Anolis sagrei: one gene and its partners. The protein of the gene in region 1 interacts with the protein of each later gene in a pairwise test. Links are inferred from orthologs where the notes say so. Each region holds a gene or a part of one and is shown in the gene's direction. Other genes may lie near its edges.

What was found.
Region 2: the proteins of CRY1 (region 1) and BMAL1 interact in a two-hybrid assay, tested with the Homo sapiens proteins (3 studies listed by BioGRID, with this or other methods). The link is inferred for Anolis sagrei from reciprocal best matches to the Homo sapiens genes CRY1 and BMAL1.
Region 3: the proteins of CRY1 (region 1) and PER1 interact in binary tests that used the Homo sapiens proteins (3 or more experiments, as listed by UniProt). The link is inferred for Anolis sagrei from reciprocal best matches to the Homo sapiens genes CRY1 and PER1.

What each region holds. Positions count from the first base shown.
Region 1 is NC_090025.1:169,420,667-169,428,002, reverse strand, and holds the start of CRY1 (cryptochrome-1), read left to right. Parts: upstream 1-4,320; 5' UTR 4,321-4,751; coding exon 4,752-4,909; intron 4,910-7,336.
Region 2 is NC_090021.1:254,885,079-254,891,955, forward strand, and holds the start of BMAL1 (basic helix-loop-helix ARNT-like protein 1), read left to right. Parts: upstream 1-3,855; 5' UTR 3,856-4,065; intron 4,066-6,877. UniProt on the Homo sapiens protein: Transcriptional activator which forms a core component of the circadian clock.
Region 3 is NC_090026.1:7,344,865-7,351,704, forward strand, and holds the start of PER1 (period circadian protein homolog 1), read left to right. Parts: upstream 1-3,818; 5' UTR 3,819-3,889; intron 3,890-6,840. UniProt on the Homo sapiens protein: Transcriptional repressor which forms a core component of the circadian clock.

The sequences.
Region 1 (7,336 bases):
CAGGGCACATTCTTTCCGTCTGCGCTCACTCGCGCTGTCCAACTTCGCGTCTCTCTCTCGCTCTCGCGCGCGCGCTCGTCAGCCCGTTTCCTATTGGCTTTCAAAACTTGGAGGGGGGAAAAAAAAACCTTTCCATGGAAGCCCCGTGCTTATCCGGGTACTTCTCCGCGCAGAAGGGGCGTGGCTTCAACATACCCCGCCTTCTCTGGAATCTTGTTATTTATGTCGTCCCCCCCCTTATGGTTTCATGCTTATGGAGAGAAAAAGGGGGATATCTATCTATCTATCTATCTATCTAATCTATCTATCTAATCTATCTATCTAATCTATTTAATCTATCTATCTAATCTATCTATCTATCTAATCTATCAGTCAGTCAATCTATCTATCTAATCTATCTATCTAATCTATCTATCTATCTAATCTATCTGTCTTATCTATCTAATCTATCTATCTAATCTATCTATCTAATCTATCTATCTAATCTATCTATCTATCTATAGAACTCAAAAACCACTGGACGAATTGACATCAAATTTGGACACAAGACACCTTACAATCCAATGTATCTCCTTCACTCAAAAAAAAATGATTTTGTTGTTTCTGGGATTTATAGTTCACCTACAATCAAAGAGCATTCTGAACCCCACCAACGATGGAACTGAACCAAACTTGGCATACAGTTCTCCCATGACCAACAGAAAATACTGGAAGGGTTTGGTGGGCAGTGTCCTTTGGTTTTGGAGTTGTAGTTCACCTACATCCAGAGAGCACTGTGGACTCAAACAATGATGGACCTGGACCAAACTCTACACAAATACTCAGTATGCCCAAATGTGAACACTGGTGGAGTTTGGGGGAAATAGAATCTTGACATTTGGGAGTTGTAGTTGCTGGGATTTACAGTTCACCTACAATCAAAGAGCATTCTGAACACCACCAATTGGGCCAAACCTCCCACACAGAACCCCCATGACCACCAGAGTGGGCCACAGCAAGGCATGGCAGGAGACGGCTAGTCTTATATAAATCAACATGTAATGTTTGTTTGTGGGATTAACATAACTCAAAAACCACTGGACGAATTGACACGAAATTTGGACACAAGACACCTAATAGTCCAACGAGTGTCCATGACCCATAAACACACACACACAAAACCCCAGTGGAACAGACTTAAATACCCCCAAATACACCCTATATACATATACACATACACTCATGCACATGCACACATTCATACAAACATAGATATACATATACACATGCACATATACATGCACACATACATATATACATATACACATGCATACACATACATATCCACATACATATATACACACAAATATGCATATAGACAAGCACACACATGTACACAATATGCATGTACACATATACACACACAAATATATATACACACACATATATACACCTGTAACTTTTTCAGGCTTTATTATTATTATTATTATTATTATTAGACAATGCAAATGGCTAAGGAGTTGAACTGGTACACATTAATTATTATAGTTTTAATTGATTTTTATATGGATTTTTATTATGTGATATTAGATGTTTTTAATTGATATGTATGTATGTATGTTTATGGCATCTAATTGTTGCCAATCTGTATGCCGCCCTGAGTTGCCTTTGGGCTGAAAAAATTCTATAAATAAATAAATATTTTGTATTACATTATATTATTATCAATATTAGATGTAAATACAATATATTATAAATAAAGTGTATTATTATCAGCATAGCATAATATTATATATAAATAGTGTATCATTTTTATTATACATAATAGTGTATAAGTAATATAAAGTGTATTATTATTTGCCTATTATACATAATAAAGTGTATAAATAATATAAACTGTATTATTATTAGCATAGCACAATATTATATATAGTGTATCATTTTATTATGCATAATAAAGTGTATAAATAATATATAGTGTATATTATTATTATTATTATTAGCCAATTAGACATAATAAAGTGCATAAGTAATATAAATGTATTATTAGCATAGCACAATATTATATATAAATAGCGTATCATTTTTATTATACATAATAAAGTATATTAGTAATATAAAGTGTATTATTATTATAAGCCTATTATACATAATAAAGTGTATAAATAATATAAAGTGTATTATTATTAGCATAGCATATTATATATAAATAGTGTATCATTTTTATTATACATAATAAAGTGTATAAATAATATAAAGTGTATTATTATTACCCTATTATACATAATAAAGTGTATAAATAATATAAAGTGTATTATTATTAGCATAGCACAATATTATATATATAGTATATCATTTTTATTATACATAATAGTGTATACATAATATAAAGTGTATTATTATTAGCATAGCACAATATTATATATAAATAGTATATCATTTTGTTATGCATAATAAAGTGTATAAATAATATAAAGTGTATTATTATTAACCAATTATACATAATAAAGTGTATAAATAATATAAAGTGTATTATTATTAGCATAGCATAATATTATATATAGTGTATCATGTTTATTATGCATAATAAAGTGTATAACTAATATATAATGCATATTATTATTAGCCAGTTATAAATAATAAAGTGTATAAATAATATAAAATGTATTATTAGCATAGCACAATATTATATATAAATAGTGTATCATTTTTATTATAATAGAAATGATACATAATAAAGTGTATAAATAATATAAAGACTATTTATATATAATATTGTGCTATGCTAATAATAATACATTTTATCATTTATACACTTTATTATGTATAATAGGCAAATAATAATAGTAATGCACTTTATATTACTTATACACTTTATTATGTATAATAAGAATGATACACTATTTATATATAATATTGTGCTATGCTAATAATAATGTTGTTGTTCATTCGTTCAGTCGTCTCCGACTCTTCGTGACCTCATGGACCAGCCCACGCCAGAGCTCCCTGTCGGCCGTCACCACCCCCAGCTCCTTCAAGGTCAGTCCAGTCACTTCAAGGATGCCATCCATCCATCTTGCCCTTGGTCGGCCCCTCTTCGTTTTGCTTTCCACTTTCCCCAGCATAATTGTCTTCTCTAGGCTTTGCTGTCTCCTCATGATGTGGCCAAAGTACTTCAGCTTTGTCTCTAGTATCCTTCCCTCCAGTGAGCAGCCGGGCTTTATTTCCTGGAGGATGGACTGGTTGGATCTTCTCGCAGTCCAAGGCACTCTCAGCACTTTCCTCCAACACCACAGCTCAAAAGCATCGATCTTTAGCAAGATCCGTCATTATGGTCCACACGTGCTAATAATAATAATACACTTTATATTATTTATACACTACATTATGTATAAAGGTAAAGGTAGTCCCCTGACATTAAGTCCAGTCATGTCTGACTCTGGGGTGTGGTGCTCATCTCCATTTCTAAGCCTGAAGAGCCAGCGTTGTCCGTAGACACCTCCAAGGTCATGTGGCCGGCATGACTGCATGGAGCGCCGTTACCTTCCCGCCGGAGCGATACCTATTGATCTACTCACATTTGCATGTTTTCGAACTGCTAGGTTGGCAGAAGCTAGGGCTGACAGCGGAAGCTCACGCCACTCCCCGGAATCGAACCTGTGACCTTTCGATCAACAAGCTCAGCAGCTCAGTGCTTTAACCCACTGCGCCACCGGGGGCCCTCAATAATGTTATACATTATGTATAACAGGCTAATAATACATTGTATATTATTTATACACTTTATTATGTATAATAGGCTAATAATAATACACTTTATATTACTAATATACTTTATTATGTATAATATAATATTGTGCTATGCTAATAATAATACACTTTATATTATTTATACACTTTATGTATAATAAAATGATATACTATATATAATATTGTGCTATGCTAATATTAACAATAGACTTTATATTATTTATACACTTTATTATGTATAATAGGCTAATAATAATAGACTTTATATTATATATTATTTATACACTTTATTATGTATCATTTCTATTATACATAAGTGTATTATTATTATTATTTGCCTATTATACACAATAAAGTGTATAAATAATATAGTGTATTATTATTAGCATAGCACAATATTGGTATTATATATTACTATATTGTATTATACCATCCTGTACGGCAATCTCATTAGTTACATAGATAAGAAGACCTGCATAACCATCCCTCTCCCTCCACGAGGCAGGAAAAACACATTTCAGAAACGTGAGGCGCCCCCGGTCACGTGGTGCGGGGGTGGCCAATCAGGGGCGAGGAAGGGCGGAGCTTGGCGGCTTCCGTCGTTGGGACGAGTTGCCTCGAGTCACAGGGCGGGCGGCAAGGGAGGAAGGAAGTTGGGTTATTTCCCCTTCATTCTTCTTTCCTCTGAGGGGAAAAAAACGGCTATTTAGAGGGAATTAATTAGGAATAGAGAGTGGAAGAGGAGGAGGAGAGGGAGGGGGCGGCAGTTTGGAAACCCAGGAGGGGCGCTGAGGAAGGAAAACAATCCGAGAGGGATGCGTTTCGCCCCCAACACCGTCGCCGCTGCTTCCACCGCCGCGGCCGCTGCTTCCACGGGATCTTAAAGCGGTTTCTCGTCGCTTCTTGGCCCTCTTCTTCTTCTTCTTCCCCGCTCAGCGGCGGCATGAGCTTGGCTTCGACTTGAGCCACGCTCCTCGGCTGTAACCGTTCTCTTCTCCTGCTTGTGCTGCCTCTCGTCAGTGATGGGGGTGAACGCGGTGCACTGGTTCCGCAAGGGGCTCCGTCTCCATGACAACCCGGCCCTGAGGGAGGTCATCCAAGGAGCCGACAGCGTCCGCTGCGTCTACATCCTCGACCCCTGGTTCGCCGGCTCTTCCAACGTCGGCATCAACCGCTGGAGGTGAGTGGCAGCCCTTCCCTCATCTTTTTACTTTATGTAAGCAAGCCCCCCCCCCCCCGCTTCTAAATCTCCCTTTTCTCCCGGGAGTGTGCGCATGCGCGGCGCCGCCTGGTTATACAACGCTGCTGCAGGTACTATGTAACACTCGGAAGTAGCCTGCTGTTTCCCTCGAAATAGTTTGGGTGTCGTCGTTAGGTCGGTGTGGGTAGTGCAGGACGCATTGGACGCAGTTAAGCTGTATTATATTGGGTCTACACCAGGCATGGGTGGACTTCGGCCCTCCAGATGCTTTGGACTTCAACTCCCACCATTCCTAACAGACTCAGGCCCTTTCCTTTCCCCCCTCAGCCACTTAAGCCCATCAGTACAGCAGTATTGTGTATCACAGGCCTTGGCTAGCTTGCGCCTTCCCTCCAGGTGTTTTGGACTTCAACTCCCACCACAGCCTCAGGCCCTTTCCTCTAAAATTACAACAGCAAAACAGCAGAGAGGAAACAACCAGGCACATCTTAACACCTCTCAACAGAACATTTTCCCAGGCACAGCCAGGCCTTCAAATGCTAATGAAGGTGATCAGCTGAAACATTCACACCTAACTGCAGCGGGGAAGAGCTCCTTGCCCCACCCCAGCCATTCCACAGATATATAAACCCATTGTCCTAATTCCAACAGACCTCACTACCTCTGAGGATGCTTGCCATAGATGCAGGCGAAACGTCAGGAGAAATGCCTCTAGAACATGGCTCTATAGCCCGATAAAACCCACAAGAACCTAGACTTTGTATTCCTAGGCGCAAAGATTACTGCAGATGCAGACTGTGGCCAGGAAATCAGAAAACGCTTACTTCTTGGGAGGAGAGCAATGTCCAGTCTCGATAAAATAGTAAAGAGCAGAGACATCAGACTGGCAACAAAGATCCGCCTAGTCAAAGCCATGGTATTCCCTGTAGTAACCTACGGATGTGTGAGCTGGACGTTAGGGAAGGCTGAGCGAAGGAAGATCGATGCTTTTGAGCTGTGGTGTTGGAGGAAAGTTCTGAGCGTGCCTTGGACTGCGAGAAGATCCAACCAGTCCATCCTCCAGGAAATAAAGCCTGACTGCTCACTGGAGGGAAGGATACTAGAGACAAAGTTGAAGTACTTTGGCCACATCATGAGGAGACAGCAAAGCCTAGAGAAGACAACTATGCTGGGGAAAGTGGAAGGCAAAAGGAAGAGGGGCCGACCAAGGGCAAGATGGATGGATGGCATCCTTGAAGTGACTGGACTGACCTTGAAGGAGCTGGGGGTGGTGACGGCCGACAGGGAGCTCTGGCGTGGGCTGGTCCATGAGGTCACGAAGAGTCGGAGACGACTGAACGAATGAAGAACAACAACACACCAGGCATGGGTGGACTTGGGCCCTCCGGGTGTTTTGGACTTCAACTCCCACCATTCCTAACAGCCTCAGTCCCTTTCCTTCCCCCCCTCAGCCACTTAAAGCCCATCAACACAGCAGTATTGTGTATCACAGGCCTTGGCCAGCTTGGGCCTTCCCTCCAGTTGTTTTGGACTTCAACTCCCACCATTCCTAACCCCCTCGGGCCCTTTCTTTTCCCCCTCAGCCACTTAAGCCCATCAACACAGCAGCATTGTGTATCACAGGCCTGGGCCAGCTTGAGCCTTCCCTTCAGGTGTTTTGGACTTCAACTCCCACCATTCCTAACCGCCTTGGGCCTCCCCCCCCCCCCCCTCAGCTGCTTAAGCTGGCCCAGTCCTAGGATCAGACCCGTAGCCAGGATTTCAATTGGGGGGGGGGGTGAGTCTGAGTGAAAGAGGGTCTACCCTAGCAAACCTTTTGTAAAGGTAAAGGTAGTCCCCTGACATTAAGTCCAGTCATGTCTGACTCTGGGGTGTGGTGCTCATCTCCATTTCTAAGCCGAAGAGCCGGCATTGTCCGTACACACCTCCAAGGACATGTGGCCAGCATGATCACATGGAGCACCATTCATCTTGATATCTTAATATATTTTCATGCCGCTGCTCATGTCAAGGAGTGTACAACAACAAAACATAAGCACACCATACAACTGAGCAGGCCTGTAGCGAGGGGCGGGGGGGGGTTAGGGGTTCAAACCCCTCCCGAAATGTTTCAGATTTTTTTAAAAAAAACTGGTTTACTCATGAATTTTAACTGGTTAACCAAATCCCCATGCTAAGTCTATGAGATGCAAAAAATTAAGAGTCCCTCCAGAACTGCAAGCACTATCTCAGGCAAATACTGACAATTTATTCACACTGTCATTACTTGCAGCAATAGCCGATGTAGTGAAGCAACCAAGTTGGGTATGTGTGTGTTGAATGTTCTCATTAAGGAGGCCAGACTTGGTGGAGGTGGTTGACAGGCGCAGAGCTGCAGGCTATGGAAGGCTGCTCTGCCCTCTGCTG
Region 2 (6,877 bases), on another chromosome or scaffold:
TGTATTGTACCAGAACAGACTTCACATTTCATCTTCATATACAAATCCATTCCAGATTACCCCCAAACTCTCTTCAACAATATAATATAGTGGTCGGGGATGGGGGAGGGGAGGATGTAGCCCATTTGTTGATGCTGTTCTTTCCAGATTGCCAGAAATCTTTATTTTCTTACTCTTCAGTGGTTCCCAACCTTTTTTTGACCAGGGACCACTCTCCATATTAGTATCAAAAGGTTATGAATCAGTTTTTGGTCAACTTTAGATTTGGTTTGTTTGGGGTGCTGATTCAGAAAACTGCATTGGCTACACCACATCAGCTCTAGTTTCTGATACAAAACATATCCAGTAGTTGTCATCTGCTTGCCCACAGAAAACCATATTTAATAATCTCGAGCTGATGTGGTCTATCCAATGCATTTTCTGAATCAGCACCCAAAATAACCCCAGGAACAGGCCTAAAAACAAAGACACCAAGAAAAATAATTGGACTGTGTTATTATCTGTGGATTTTGTTAACATTCCTGTTTTTTTTAAAAAAGAGGGGGCTGAAGTTGAAAAAAATACAAAAAGCAGAGTGTGAGACCTAAGAAACTGTCCCTTATGGCTTTAATAACAACTGGGGGACTAAAGAGGGTCTTACAAAGGGCTGCTTGCCCATTACATCTGATATGTGGCAATGGGAGCTAACAACAACAACTTTGGGGGACTTCTCTTACTCCCTCACACGTGTAACTGGGTGAGTTTTCTCCGCCCTGGCCTGGGAAGCCTCTGAAGGCTGAGGAAGTGCTGGCAAGTGCAACAGCCTTCTTTCCTCTCTCCCTCTCCTTCACTCTCTCGCTCCCTCACGCATATCGCCAGGTGAGTTTTCTCCATCCTGGTCTGAGAAACCTAGGCTGAGAAAGCACTGGTAAGGGTGAGGGCAACGCGCTGGTGCTCCTTCCTTCCTTCCCTCTCTCCTCCAATGCACCCCTGGTGCCAATTTTCCCCACATCTCGCAGACCTTATTTTAGGTCTCGCGGCCCACAGGTTGGGAACCAATGCTCTATTTTCTTACTCCAATTCTTAACATGCCTCGAGTTCCATTACTTCAATGAATAATAAAAATTATGCTCCTGCAGGCCACCCAAATGACTACCGACATATTGCAATTTCCCATCACAGCCCTACCACACTTGGAATCGCAGAAAGCCTGGAAGAAAATAAGATTCAATTGCAAAGGCAGCCTCATAATCCAGGAAGCATTTGCCCATAGAGACAAAAGAACAAATTCATAGGTGTGCAATGATAAATACCTGTTTTCAATATTGTAGCTGTTGTAAATAAGATTTTTAAGTGCTGAATTCAAACAAATTCAATATTTCTTTTATACCACACACAGTTATTTCACAAATTTTATTAGGAATTTTAATATAATTTCATTTAATCACACATTTTGAAGCATAGAAATACCAAAGCAAATTGTGGAAAAAAACTGTACAGGCTGAATATCTCTTATCCGGAAATATCCAAAGAAATGGCTGAGATACTGACACCTTTGCTTTCCAGTGGTTCAAAGGAGTACGGCAGGGTTGCATACTTTCACCCTACCTATTCAATTTGTATGCAGAACACATTGTGCAATGTGAGGGGCTTGATGAATCCAAGGCTGGATTTAAAATTGCTGAAGAAATGTTAACAAGCTTAGATATGCAGATGATATCACTTTGATGGTCAAAAGCAAGGAGGAGTTGAGGAGCCTCATAACCAAGGTGAAAGAAGAAATTGTAAAAGCTGGGCTGCAGTTAAACATAAAAAAACAAGATTATGGCAACCAAACTGATTGAGAATTGGAAAAATAGAGGCAGTAACGGACTTTGTATTTCTAGGTGCAAAGATTACTGCAGATGCAGACTGCAGCCAGGAAATCAGAAGACGTTTACTTCTTGGGAGGAGAGCAATGACCAATCTCGATAAAATAGTGAAGAGTAGAGACATCACACTTGCAACAAAGATCCGCCTAGTCAAAGCCATGGTATTCCCTGTAGCAACCTATAGATGTGAGAGCTGGACCATAAGGAAGACTGAGCGAAGGAAGTTAGATGCTTTTGAACTGTGGTGTTGGAGGAAAATTTGGAGAGTGCCTTGGACTACAAGAAGATCAAACCAGGCCATACTCCAGGAAATAAAGCCTGGCTGCTCACTGGAGGGAAGGATATTAGAGGCCAAGATGAAGTACTTTGGCCACATAATGACAAGACAGGAAAGCTTAGAGAAGACAATGATGCTGGAAAAAGTGGAAGGAAAAAGGGAGAGGGGCAAGATGGCTGGATGGCATCCTTGATGTGACTGGCTTGACTTTGAGGGAGCTGGGGCTGGTGATAGCTGGGGATGGTGATGGCCAACTGGGAGCTCTGGCGTGGGCTGGTCCAGGTCACGAAAAGTCACAAGCAACTAAACAAATAAACAACAACACAGAAGTATTAAAAGATATTGTGCAAACTTTGTATCAAAGTTGTGTATGAAATACATGCAAGTTCCCTGTTGAGACTGTGGGGTTCTACCTTCAGGATAACTCATTTGATACATCCTTGTGGGCAGAGGCAGCCCGAGGTAATTTTCAATGGTAAGCAAACAGTATTTTGGTGCCCCCTCCCCCCAACCAATCACTGATATATATTTTCTGTTCGTCGTGGGAGTTCTGTGTGCCATATTTGGTTCAATTCCATCATTGGTGGAGTTCAGAATGCTCTTTGATTGTAGGTGAACTATACATCCCAGAAACTACAACTCACATATGTCAAGATCTATTTTTCCCTAAGAGCACCTCAAGAGTGCCCCTGGGCAAAATCAACTATACTCCAAATGCTTACTTTGCATAATGGGTTGAGCCGCCCCTGCTTGTGGGAGGCTTCTCTCATGTCCCCGCATGGGGAACTGGAGCTGATAGAGGGAGCTCATCCGCCTCTCCCCGGATTTGAACCTGTGACCTGTCGGTCTTCAGTCCTGCCAGCACAGGGGTTTAACCCACTGCGCCAATGGGGGCATCAAAACATCCGGACATCCCCTGGGCAACGTCCTTGCAGACAACCAATTCTCTCACACCAGAAGCGACTTGCAGTGTCTCAAGTCGCTTCTGACACGACAAAAAAATTGATACATGCAAATATTCCAAAATATGATTTAAAAAAATCCCAAATACTGGACATTTTGGTCCTAAGCACTTCTGATACTCAACCTGTACCTGATGGTGAAGACCTGAGGCAATTTTTCGTTACGGAATAGAACATTTTGATAAAACGAGAAAACAAAATAGTAAGGTGGGTGTAATTCTCAATGTTACAGGTCTGTGTGGTGGGAAGGGGGGAAGGGGTGCTCCCTGCCATCCTGAAACGTTTCTCAGGCGCCACCGGGAAGGAGGAGGAGCGAGGCCCCCTCGGAGACTCGAAGGGATCTGAGGCGCGCGGCGTTGGAGTCCCCGGGCGGCCTCCCTGTGACGACAGCAGCGCGCGCAGGGGAAGCTGGGCCGCGCCTCGGCAGCCCTACATCCGGGTCCCGCCCGTCCCAAACAGTCCCTTACGCAACCGTTCGCCGCTGGAGCCACCCGAGGCTGGCAGGGAGGCAGCGCGAGAGAGAAGTGCGCGCGCGCCTCTCCCCACAACCCTCCTCCCTCCCTTCCTCCTGTCTTCTAAAGCAGGCGGGAACCACAAGCGCGTTCTCGCCATTCCGACGCCTTCACTCGCCGGGCGGCGATGGCGATTGGCCGCCCGGGTCGGAAGGCGGGCCGAAGGGGCCGCTCTTTGGGCGACGATTGGCTCTGGAGGGTTGTGCCCCGCGATTGGTCGGGGGCTCGGTGCGGGGGGAGAAGCCATTGGTTGGAAAGTAGGTTAGTGGTGCGACGTTCAGCGGCAAGCCAGGCGGAAAGTAGGTCAGGTACAGGGGCTGCTGCTGTTGCTGCTTGCGCCGGGCGCCACTCCTTTCGCTACGCGGCGCAAGAGGAGGCAAGGCAGGAAGGAAGGAAGGAGGAGGGAGGGAGAGAGAGAGAGAGAGGGGGCGCCCAGCCGTGACCCCCGCGCCCTTCGAAACACGGTGAGGAAACGGGCGGCCCAAGGTGGGGAGGGGAGGCCACGGGGGAATCCCTGCTGTGCTGAAGCCGAGGCGAAGGGGATCCCTTTGGCTGCAGCTGAGGGGAAGGAGCGGTTGGAGCGGTTCCCCTTCGGAGGAAGCCCGGGGGGAATAGCTATTCTGTGTGTGTGTCTGTCAATGCGGTTGGCTCTGCTTCTGCGTAATATGCCCAAAAAGGGTGGGCGAGGGTCCTCACGGCACAAAATACACGCGTCCGGCTTGTAAGAGGCCGCTCAGCGTCTCCTTAACGCACTTCGACACCGCTTTAGCTGCTGTGCAATCCGGGGGGGGGGGGGGTAGCTTGCTCAAGACCTCGTAAAGCTACAACTCCCAGGTAGCCATCACATTGTGCAATGACAGTTAAAGGGGTGCCAGGATGCATTCATTCTACTGTGTAAATGCACCACATTCTACTGTATTTCTAAGGGTACGTCTACATTGTAGAATTGACACAGTTTGGTAGTATGGTTCAATGCTGTAGAACAGGCATGGGCAGCCTTCGTCCCTCGAGGTGTTTTGGACTCCAACTCCCACCATACCTAACAGCCTCAGGCCTCTTCCTTTTTCCTCTCAGCCACTTAAGAATGTTGGAATGTTGAGGCGGACCAATCAGAAACCATATGCAAATTAGTAAGTCAAGATAGCTCATGCATGGGGTGTTTTGGACTTCAGCTCCCACCATTCCTTACATCCTTGGGCCCTTTTCTTTTCCCCCTCAGCCGCTTAAGCTGTAAGGAATGGTGGGAGTTGAAGTCCAAAACACATGGTCGGCCCAAGTTTGCTCATGCCTGCTATAGAATCAAGACAGCTGCAGTTTTACAAAGTCTATTAGCATGCTTTGCTCAGGAGTGCTGGTGCCTCACCAAACTACAACTCCCAAGGGGCGCATGTCTGTATTTCCTGACATGTTATTTGTTACAGGGAAAGTATCAAAGAAAGAGCTTGTCCTGGGTGGCTGAGGAGAGATAAGGAAATGGACATTACCATAGTTTCCCTTCCTTGAGGGAGCTCAGTTTGTTTATAACAGGCCCTCCTTATCTACGGATACAGCACCCATAGATTAAACTATCCGCAGCTTGAAAAGACGTCTAAAAGCATTAATTTTGCCATTTTATGCAAAGAGAACTGGTTTTACTACTCCATTGTATATAATGGGACTTGAGCGTCCATAGATTTTTGTATGTATGGAGGGCCTGGGACCAAACATCATCCAAGGACACACTGTAGAGTATGGTCTCTTTAGGTTGTGTACTGTTATGTTGTGTTTTGAGGCCTTGGCCTTTGTAAGCTGCATTGAGTCCTTCGGGAGTTGCTAGCGGGGTACAAATAAAGTTAATAAATAATAATAAAAAGCCACATGATTCCAATGCCAGTTCTGTAGGGTTTCTTTCTTTTTGATTTGGAAGACATTCCTGCCCAGCATGCTACAGGATGGAGGATGGAGTTCGCATTCTAACTCCATAGTTGGCTTTTCGTTTTAATTATTATTTTGGAAACAATGTTCCTGGCCGTTCGGCATCTACTAATGCCACACTTGGCTGACCTTTTTGCTTTTAAACTTCAGCATAGACAGTGGAATACATATTTTGAATTCATTTTGAAACAAACTTATAGAAAACTAGGAAGATGCTCAGAGAGACAAAAAATAATAAAACTCACATAACTGATATTAAGCTTTGAAAGAGACAACATTGAATAAACAGGCTCAGCTCTCCAGCTCTCAAAGGGAATGAAACCTGTTTACTGGGAACTAAGTCCTGTTTAACTTCCTAGCAATTGTAAACAAAGTATCGTGTGTACTTCCAAATACATTCTTATCTGCTTTAGGGTTATGAGCAAGGGAACTCATTCTATATTGGTATACTCCAAAAATTATCTCTGTGGCTTATAAATATGAGTTGGATGTTTTAATTGAAGAATTCTTTTTGTGTGTGTTATTCTGCCTCCAAGTGAAAGAGTGTCCATCAAGCATATCACACTTTTATAAAAGCCTTGCCACAGTTGTCCTTATTTTGACCATTACCCTATCACTCTTTTCATACAGCTTCACTATCCCTCTTTCTAGCTGATGATTATAACTTCATGGTGAAAATCCATTACTGAGACTGCTTATGAGGTGGAGATGGTATTTTGATATGAGTTATTCTTTTGGTTGACTACTGGGTGAACCAAGATTATTGGGCATATGAGAGGAAGCATTGATTTTTGGAACAGGCTTGAGTCTTACTTCAAGAGGGAACCACTAGCTGCCAGTCTGCTTCCGAGCACAATTCAAAGCGCTGGCTTTAGCCTATAGAGCCCTAAACATTTCCGGCCCGGTCTACCTGGCTGAACCTTCCCCTATGAACCAGTTCAGAGTTTATGATCATCTGGGGAGGCACTGCTCTAGATCCCACCTTCCTTGCAAGTGCGATTGGTATGGACAAAAGATAGGGCCTTCTCAGTGGTGGCCCCTTGGTTGTGGAACTCCCTCCCTAGCAACATTAGATTAACCCCCTCCCTCCTAGCCTTCAGGAGGAAAGTCGAAACCTGGTTCTGGGAGCAGGATTTAAAAAAATAGGACAGTGCAGTGGAATTACAGTGTTCCCTCACTGTCTTGCAGTTTGCCTTATGCGGACTCGCTGTTTTGCCGTTTAAAAAAAATGTATTTTTAGGTAGGTAGGGTAAAGGTTTTCCCTTGACATTAACTCCAGTTGTGTCCGACTCTGGGGTGTGGTGCTCATCTCCATTTCTAAGCCGAAGAGCCAGCATTGTCCTTAGACACCTCCAAGGTTAT
Region 3 (6,840 bases), on another chromosome or scaffold:
CAGCGCGCGGCAGCCATATTACTAACGGGAGCAGGACGCAGGGAGCATACAACGCCCTTGTTGTCCCAGCTCCACTGGCTGCCGATCTGCTACCGGGCCCAATTCAAGGTGCTGGTGTTGGCCTACAAAGCCCTAAACGGTTCCGGCCCAAAATACCTGTCTGACCGCATCTTGGCCTATGAGCCCACGAGGACTTTGAGATCGTCTGGGGAGGCCCTTCTCTCGATCCCGCCTGCCTCACAGGCACGCCTGGTGGGGACGAGGGATAGGGCCTTCTCAGTGGTGGCCCCCCGGCTGTGGAACACTCTCCCTGTAGACATCAGACAGGCGCCCTCCCTGATAACATTCCGCAAGAGGCGAAAGACATGGTTGTGTGAGAAGGCGTTTGACTAGTGCTACATCAATTGGCAATGACGTTTGGAACGGAACATGGATAACGAGATCGGATTGTGATTCTATGATTAGACGTCGCGAATGATTTAGTGTAATTGTATTATTGACTGTGATGTTGTTATTGTTGTCTGTGATATTGCTTATATTGTAATTTGTTTTTATATGTTGTACACCGCCGTGAGTCGCCCTAGGGCTGAGAACGGCGGTCTACAAATGCAGTAAATAAATAAATAAATAAATAAATAAATAAATAAATATTTAATATATCTGCATACAAGTGGAATAGGTTGGGGGAGAGTATACAACCCTGCCGTACGACTTTCCCAGTCATGGACCAGTCTGTTGTTCCAGGGTCAGTTCTTACTGTATATACTAGCCATCCCCTGCCACGCACTGCTGTGGCCCACTCTGGTGGTCATGGGGGTTCTGCGTGGGAGGTTTGGCCCAATTCTATTGTCGGTGGGGTTCAGAATGCTCTGTGATTGTAGGTGAACTATAAATCCCAGCAACTACAACTCCAAAATGTCAAGATTCTATTTTCCCCAAACTCCACCCCTGTTCACATTTGGGCATATTGAGTATTTGTGTAGAGTTTGGTCCAGATCCATCATTGTTTGAGTCCACAGTGCTCTCTGGATGTAGGTGAACTACAACTCCAAAACTCAAGGTCAATGTCCACCAAACCCTTCCAGTATTCTCTGTTCTGTGTGCCAAGATTGGTTCAATTCCATCGTTGGTGGGGTTCAGAATGCTCTTTGATTGTAGGTGAACTATAAATCCCAGCAACTACAACTCCCAAATGACGAAATCAATTTTTTTGAGTGAAGGACATACATTGCGTTGTTAGGTGTCTTGTGTCCAAATTTGGTGTCAATTTGTCCAGTGGTTTTTGAGTTTTGTTAATCCCACAAACGAACATTACATTTTTATTTATATAGATATAAACACAGGTATGTGTATGTAAGGTAATGCTCAAGATCCTGCAAGGAAGACTCCAGCAATACATGGAGCGAGAGTTGCCAGATGTTCAAGCTGGGTTTAGAAAAGGCAGAGGAACGAGAGACCAGATTGACAATATCCGGATGCTGGAGAATGGAGAAAGGCAGGGAGTTTCAGAAAAACATCTACTTCTGCTTCATGGACTACTCTAAAGCCTTTGACTGTGTGGATCATAATAAATTGTGGCAAGTTCTTGGTGGGATGGGCATACCAAGCCCCCTTCCCTCTCTCCTGAGGAATCTGTACAAGGACCAAGAAGCAACAGTCAGAACTGACCACGGAACAACAGACGGGTTCGAGATTGGGAAAGGCGTACGGCAAGGCTGCATCCTCTCACCCAAACTATTCAACTTGTATGCAGAACACATCGTGCGAGGATGCGCGGGGCTGGATGAATGCAAGGCTGGGGTGAAAATTGCTACAGGCCTGCACATACCTGTGTTTGTTGTCGTTGTTCATTCGTTCAGTCGTCTCTGACTCTTCGTGCCCTCATGGACCAGCCCACGCCACAGCTCCCTGTCGGCCGTCACCACCCCCAGCTCCTTCAAGGTCAGTCCAGTCACTTCAAGGATGCCATCCATCCATCTTGCCCTTGGTCGGCCCCTCTTCCTTTTGCCTTCCACTTTCCCCAACATCATTGTCTTCTCTAGGCTTTGCTCTCTCCTCATGATGTGGCCAAAGGACTTCCACTTTGTCTCTAGTATCTTTCCCTCCAGTGAGCAGTCGGGCTTTATTTCCTGTAGGATGGACTGGTTGGATCTTCTCGCAGTCCAAGGCACTCTCAGCACTTTCCTCCAACACCACAGCTCAAAAGCATCAATCTTCCTTCGCTCAGCCTTCCCTAAGGTCCGGCTCTCACATCCGTAGGTGACTACAGGGAATACCATTGCTTTGACTAGGCAATGGATCTTTGTTGCCAGTCTGATGTCTCTACTCTTCACTATTTTATCGAGACTGGACATTGCTCTCCTCCCAAGAAGTAAGCGTCTTCTGATTTCCTGGCCACAGTCTGCATCTGCACTCATCTTTGCACCTAGAAATACAAAGTCTGTCACGGCCTCCACATTTTCTCCCTCTATTTTCCAGTTGTCAATCATTCTTGTTGCCATAATCTTGGTTTTTTTGACGTTTAGCTGCAACCCAGCTTTTGCGCTTTCTTCTTTCACCTTGATTAGAAGGCTCCTCAGCTCCTCCTCGCTTTCGGCCATCAGAGTGGTGTCATCTGCATATCTGAGGTTGTTAATGTTTCTTCCAGCAATTTTCACCCCAGCTTTGCATTCATCAAGCCCCGCACATCCTCGCATGATGTGTTCTGCATACAAGTTAAAAAGGTTGGGTGAGAGGATGCAGCCTTGCCGGACGCCTTTCCCAATCTGGAACCAGTCTCCTGTTCCGTGGTCAGTTCTGACTGTGGCTCCTTGGTCCTTGTACAGGTTCCTCAGAAGAGTGACAAGGTGGCTTGGGATGCCCATCCCACTAAGAACTTGCCACAATTTATTATGATCCACACAGTCAAAGGCTTTAGAGTAGTCAATGAAGCAGAAGTAGATGTTTTTCTGAAACTCCCTGCCTTTCTCCATTATCCAGCATCCAGATATTGGCAATCTGGTCTCTCGTTCCTCTGCCTTTTCTAAACCCAGCTTGAACATCTGGCAACTCTCGCTCCATGTATTGCTGGAGTCTTCCTTGCAGGATCTTGAGCATTACCTTACTGGCATGAGAAATAAGGGCCACTGTGCGGAAGTTGGAGCAGTCTTTCGCATTTCCCTTTTTTGGTATGGGGATATAAGTTGATTTTTTCCAGTCTGATGGCCATTCTTGTGTTTTCCATATGTGTGTATATATATGTGTGTGTGTGTATATGTGTGTGTGTGTATATATATCAAATGTAGAAGGAAAAGAGCCTTCTACCCTTCCCTCCCCCACGTCGCCTCTTCCAAATTATCGGCCCCGCCCCCTCGGCGCCAAACTTCGTCAAACTGGAGGCCACGCCCCCGCCTCTCCCGCCACGCCCCCTTTTTGCCTCTCCAAACTGTAAACACTTACAGCAGCAGCGGCCGCGTGAGGCCTTTTGGCACGTGTACTCCTTTCCGAAGCAGGCCAGCCAATGGGAAGCCTGCGTGGCGGAGACAACCAATGGGCGCCCGGAGTGGGCGTGGCCCGCCGGCACGCGGACTCCTGCATGCTGCTGCGGAACGACCCAATAGGATCCGGAAGGGGGCGGGGCTGGTTTTGCCGAAGCTGTCACGCGGCAGCCTGCATGTTGCGGCGCCGGCTGGCCAATCGCAAGCCGAGCTGAGCAAGACGAGCGGGGAGGGGCGGCCAATGAGGGGGCGTGGCGGGAGGCTCGGGCGGAGGCGATTGGTGGACAGCTGGGAGAGGGGGGCGTGCCCGGCTCACGCGGACGAGTGCATGGGGCCTGAGTGGAGCGCGCAAGGGGTTTAGCCTTTCTCGTCGTTACAGCGCCACAGAGGAGACCGAGGGAGCGGCGTTGAAGGTAAGCAGCGGAAGTCGGTCCGGGGGAAAAAGGGGGCTGAGGCCAGGAGAGGAAGGGGAGAGCAGGAAGCTGGGAGTCCAACAGGAGGAACCATTAGGAAGGGGTCAGGTTTCAAGAGAAGGGAGAGCAAGATCATGTTTACCTCAGAGAATTCAAACTAGATCATGTTTACCTCAGAAAAGCCAAACTAGATCATGTTTACCTCAGAAAAGCCAAACAAGATAATGTTTACCTCAGAAAAACCAAGATTATGTTTACCTCAGAAAAACCAAGATGTTTACCTCAGAAAAGCCAAACAAAATCATGTTTATCTCAGAAAAACCAAGATTTTGTTTACCTCAGAAAAGCCAAACTAGATTTTGTTTACCTCAGAAAAACCAAGATTATGTTTACCTCAGAAAAGCCAAACAAGATCATGTTTACCTCAGAAAAACCAAGATTTTGTTTACCTCAGAAAAGCCAAACTAGATCATGTTTACCTCAGAAAAGCCAAACTAGATTTTGTTTACCTCAGAAAAGCCAAACAAGATTATGTTTACCTCAGAAAAGCATTGTCTACAAAAGTGAGTGGATGAGCAGAAAGGGACAAATTATTTCCTTGGATTATATGTATATACTATTTCTAGACAGGCATATGTGTGTGTATAGGAGGGATGGGGCAACTTGGGCCCTCCAGGTGTTTTGGACTCCCAACTCCCACCATTCCTAACAGCCTCAGGCCCCTTCCTTCCTTAAGCGGCTGAGGGGGAAAAGGAAAGGGCCTGAGGCTGTTAGGAATGGTGGGAGTTGGAGTCCAAAACATCTGGAGGGCCCAAGTTGCCCCATCCCTCCTCTATACCCACAAAAATATGTATAATACGCAATTTAAAGTCATATATATATATTGTGGTTATTATAATGTTATGTATGTGTGAATGTACTGTCAAATGTTGCTTCTCTTATTGTTTTCCGTCCTTTTCAAAATATCCATCCTGAATATGTTTTCATTTTACCCTATGCCCGCAAAAAAAACTCCTCATAAAAAAAGAAATTGGCCAAAGGGCTGAAGTAGGAGGGGTCTAGTTTGGGAGGAAGGACAGGTTTGTACGCAAAAGGATACGCCCAAAGGAAAGGGAAGAAGGAATGAGGAAAATGAAGGAGGTGAGAAGTTTACGCAATCCTCCAAAGTTAAAACAAAAACGCCTAAAAGGGAACGGGGTTTGATGTAGAGGATGGATGGATATCTGTTGGGAGGGATTGGTTTATGTCCGGATGGGGTTGGTTGAACTGGATGCCCCTTGGGATCTCTCCCAATTCTATGATTCGAGGATCATAGAATTGTAGAGTTGGGAGAGACTTCTAGGGGCATCCAGTCCAACCCCATCCAGACATAATCCTAGCCCTCCCGACAGATGGTAGCAGGGTTTGAAGCAGAGGCTGAATGGACATCTGTCGGGAGGGGCTTTATTATGTCGGGATGGGGTTGGTTTTTTGGACTGGATGCCCCTTGGGATCTCTCACAACTCTACGATTTGAGGATCATGGAATCGTAGAGTTGGGAGAGAACTCAAGGGACATCCAGTCCAACCCCATCCAGACATAATCCTAGCCCTCCCGACAGATGGTAGCAGGATTTGAAGCAGAGGCTGTATGGACATCTGTCGGGAGGGGTTTTATTATGTCCAGATGGGGTTGGTTGGACTGGATGCCCTTTGGAATCTCTACGATTCGAGAATCGTAGAGTTGGGACAGACCCCAAGGGGCATCCAGTCCAACCCCGTCCAGACATAATCCTAACCCTCCCGACAGATGGTTGGATTGGATGCCCCTTGGGACCTCTCCCTACTTGGATTATAGAACCGTAGAGTTGTGAGAGACCCAAAGGGGAATCCAGTCCAACCCCAGCCAGACATAATCCTAACTCTCCCAACAGATAGTAGGACTGGATGTCCCTTGGGGCATCCAGTTGAGAGAGATCCCAATTCCAAAATTGTAGAGTTGGGAGAGACCCCAAAGGGCATCCAGTCCAACCCCATCCAGACATAATCCTAGCCCTCCCAACAGATGGTTGGACTGGATGCTCCTTGGGACCTCTCCTAACTTGGATAATTGAATCGTAGAGTTGGGAGAGACCCCAAGGGGCATCTAGTCCAACCCTATCCTGACCTAATCCAAGCCCTCTGGGCAGATGGTTGGACTGGATATCCTTTGAGATCTCCCCCAATGCGGAGACATAATTCAAGCCCTCCTGACAGATGGTTGGACTGGATGTCCCTTGGGGTCTCTCCCAACTCTACAATTCTAGGATCATAGAATCGTAGAGTTGGGAGAGACCCCAAGGGGCATCCAGTCCAACCCCATCCAGACCAAGCCAGATATCCATCCAGCCTCGTCTTAAAAATCTCAAGAGAAGGAGATTCCCTTACAGTCTCAGGCAGTATATTCCACCGTCAAACACCTCTTACCATCAGGAAGTTCCTTCTAATGTTTGTATGGACAGTTTGAAAAAGCATAGAGGGTTGTAAGGATGAGAAAGATACGCCATTTAGGGTCTTGTATAGGAGAGATTTAGGGGGAAAGTAACAGGCATCATGCTGATGGGTGTCGCTGCGGAACAAAGCAACATTTTGAAAACCGAAAATTAATAACAGACCAGCAATAGGCTGTTGACACAAATTTTGAAAGAAGAGGCCATTTCACAATTTCAAAAATTGTTTTTTTGGGGGCAGAGGGCTGGTATTAATCACTCCGCACTCATGGCTTTGTTTATTTCTTTATTATTTACTTTGTTTTATATCCCCCTCTCTTTCGTTGGGGCAACATTTGTTTCAAATATTCTGGTGACTAATTGGAGTCGGGTTTAGCAGCTGGTGTGTGTCAAGAATGGCTCTAGTCTTTCTTCCTGAAGACTTTGCTTTTTCTTTATCATTATTTTTTTATTTTCAATAAATACATTTAAAAACCTTTTGAGT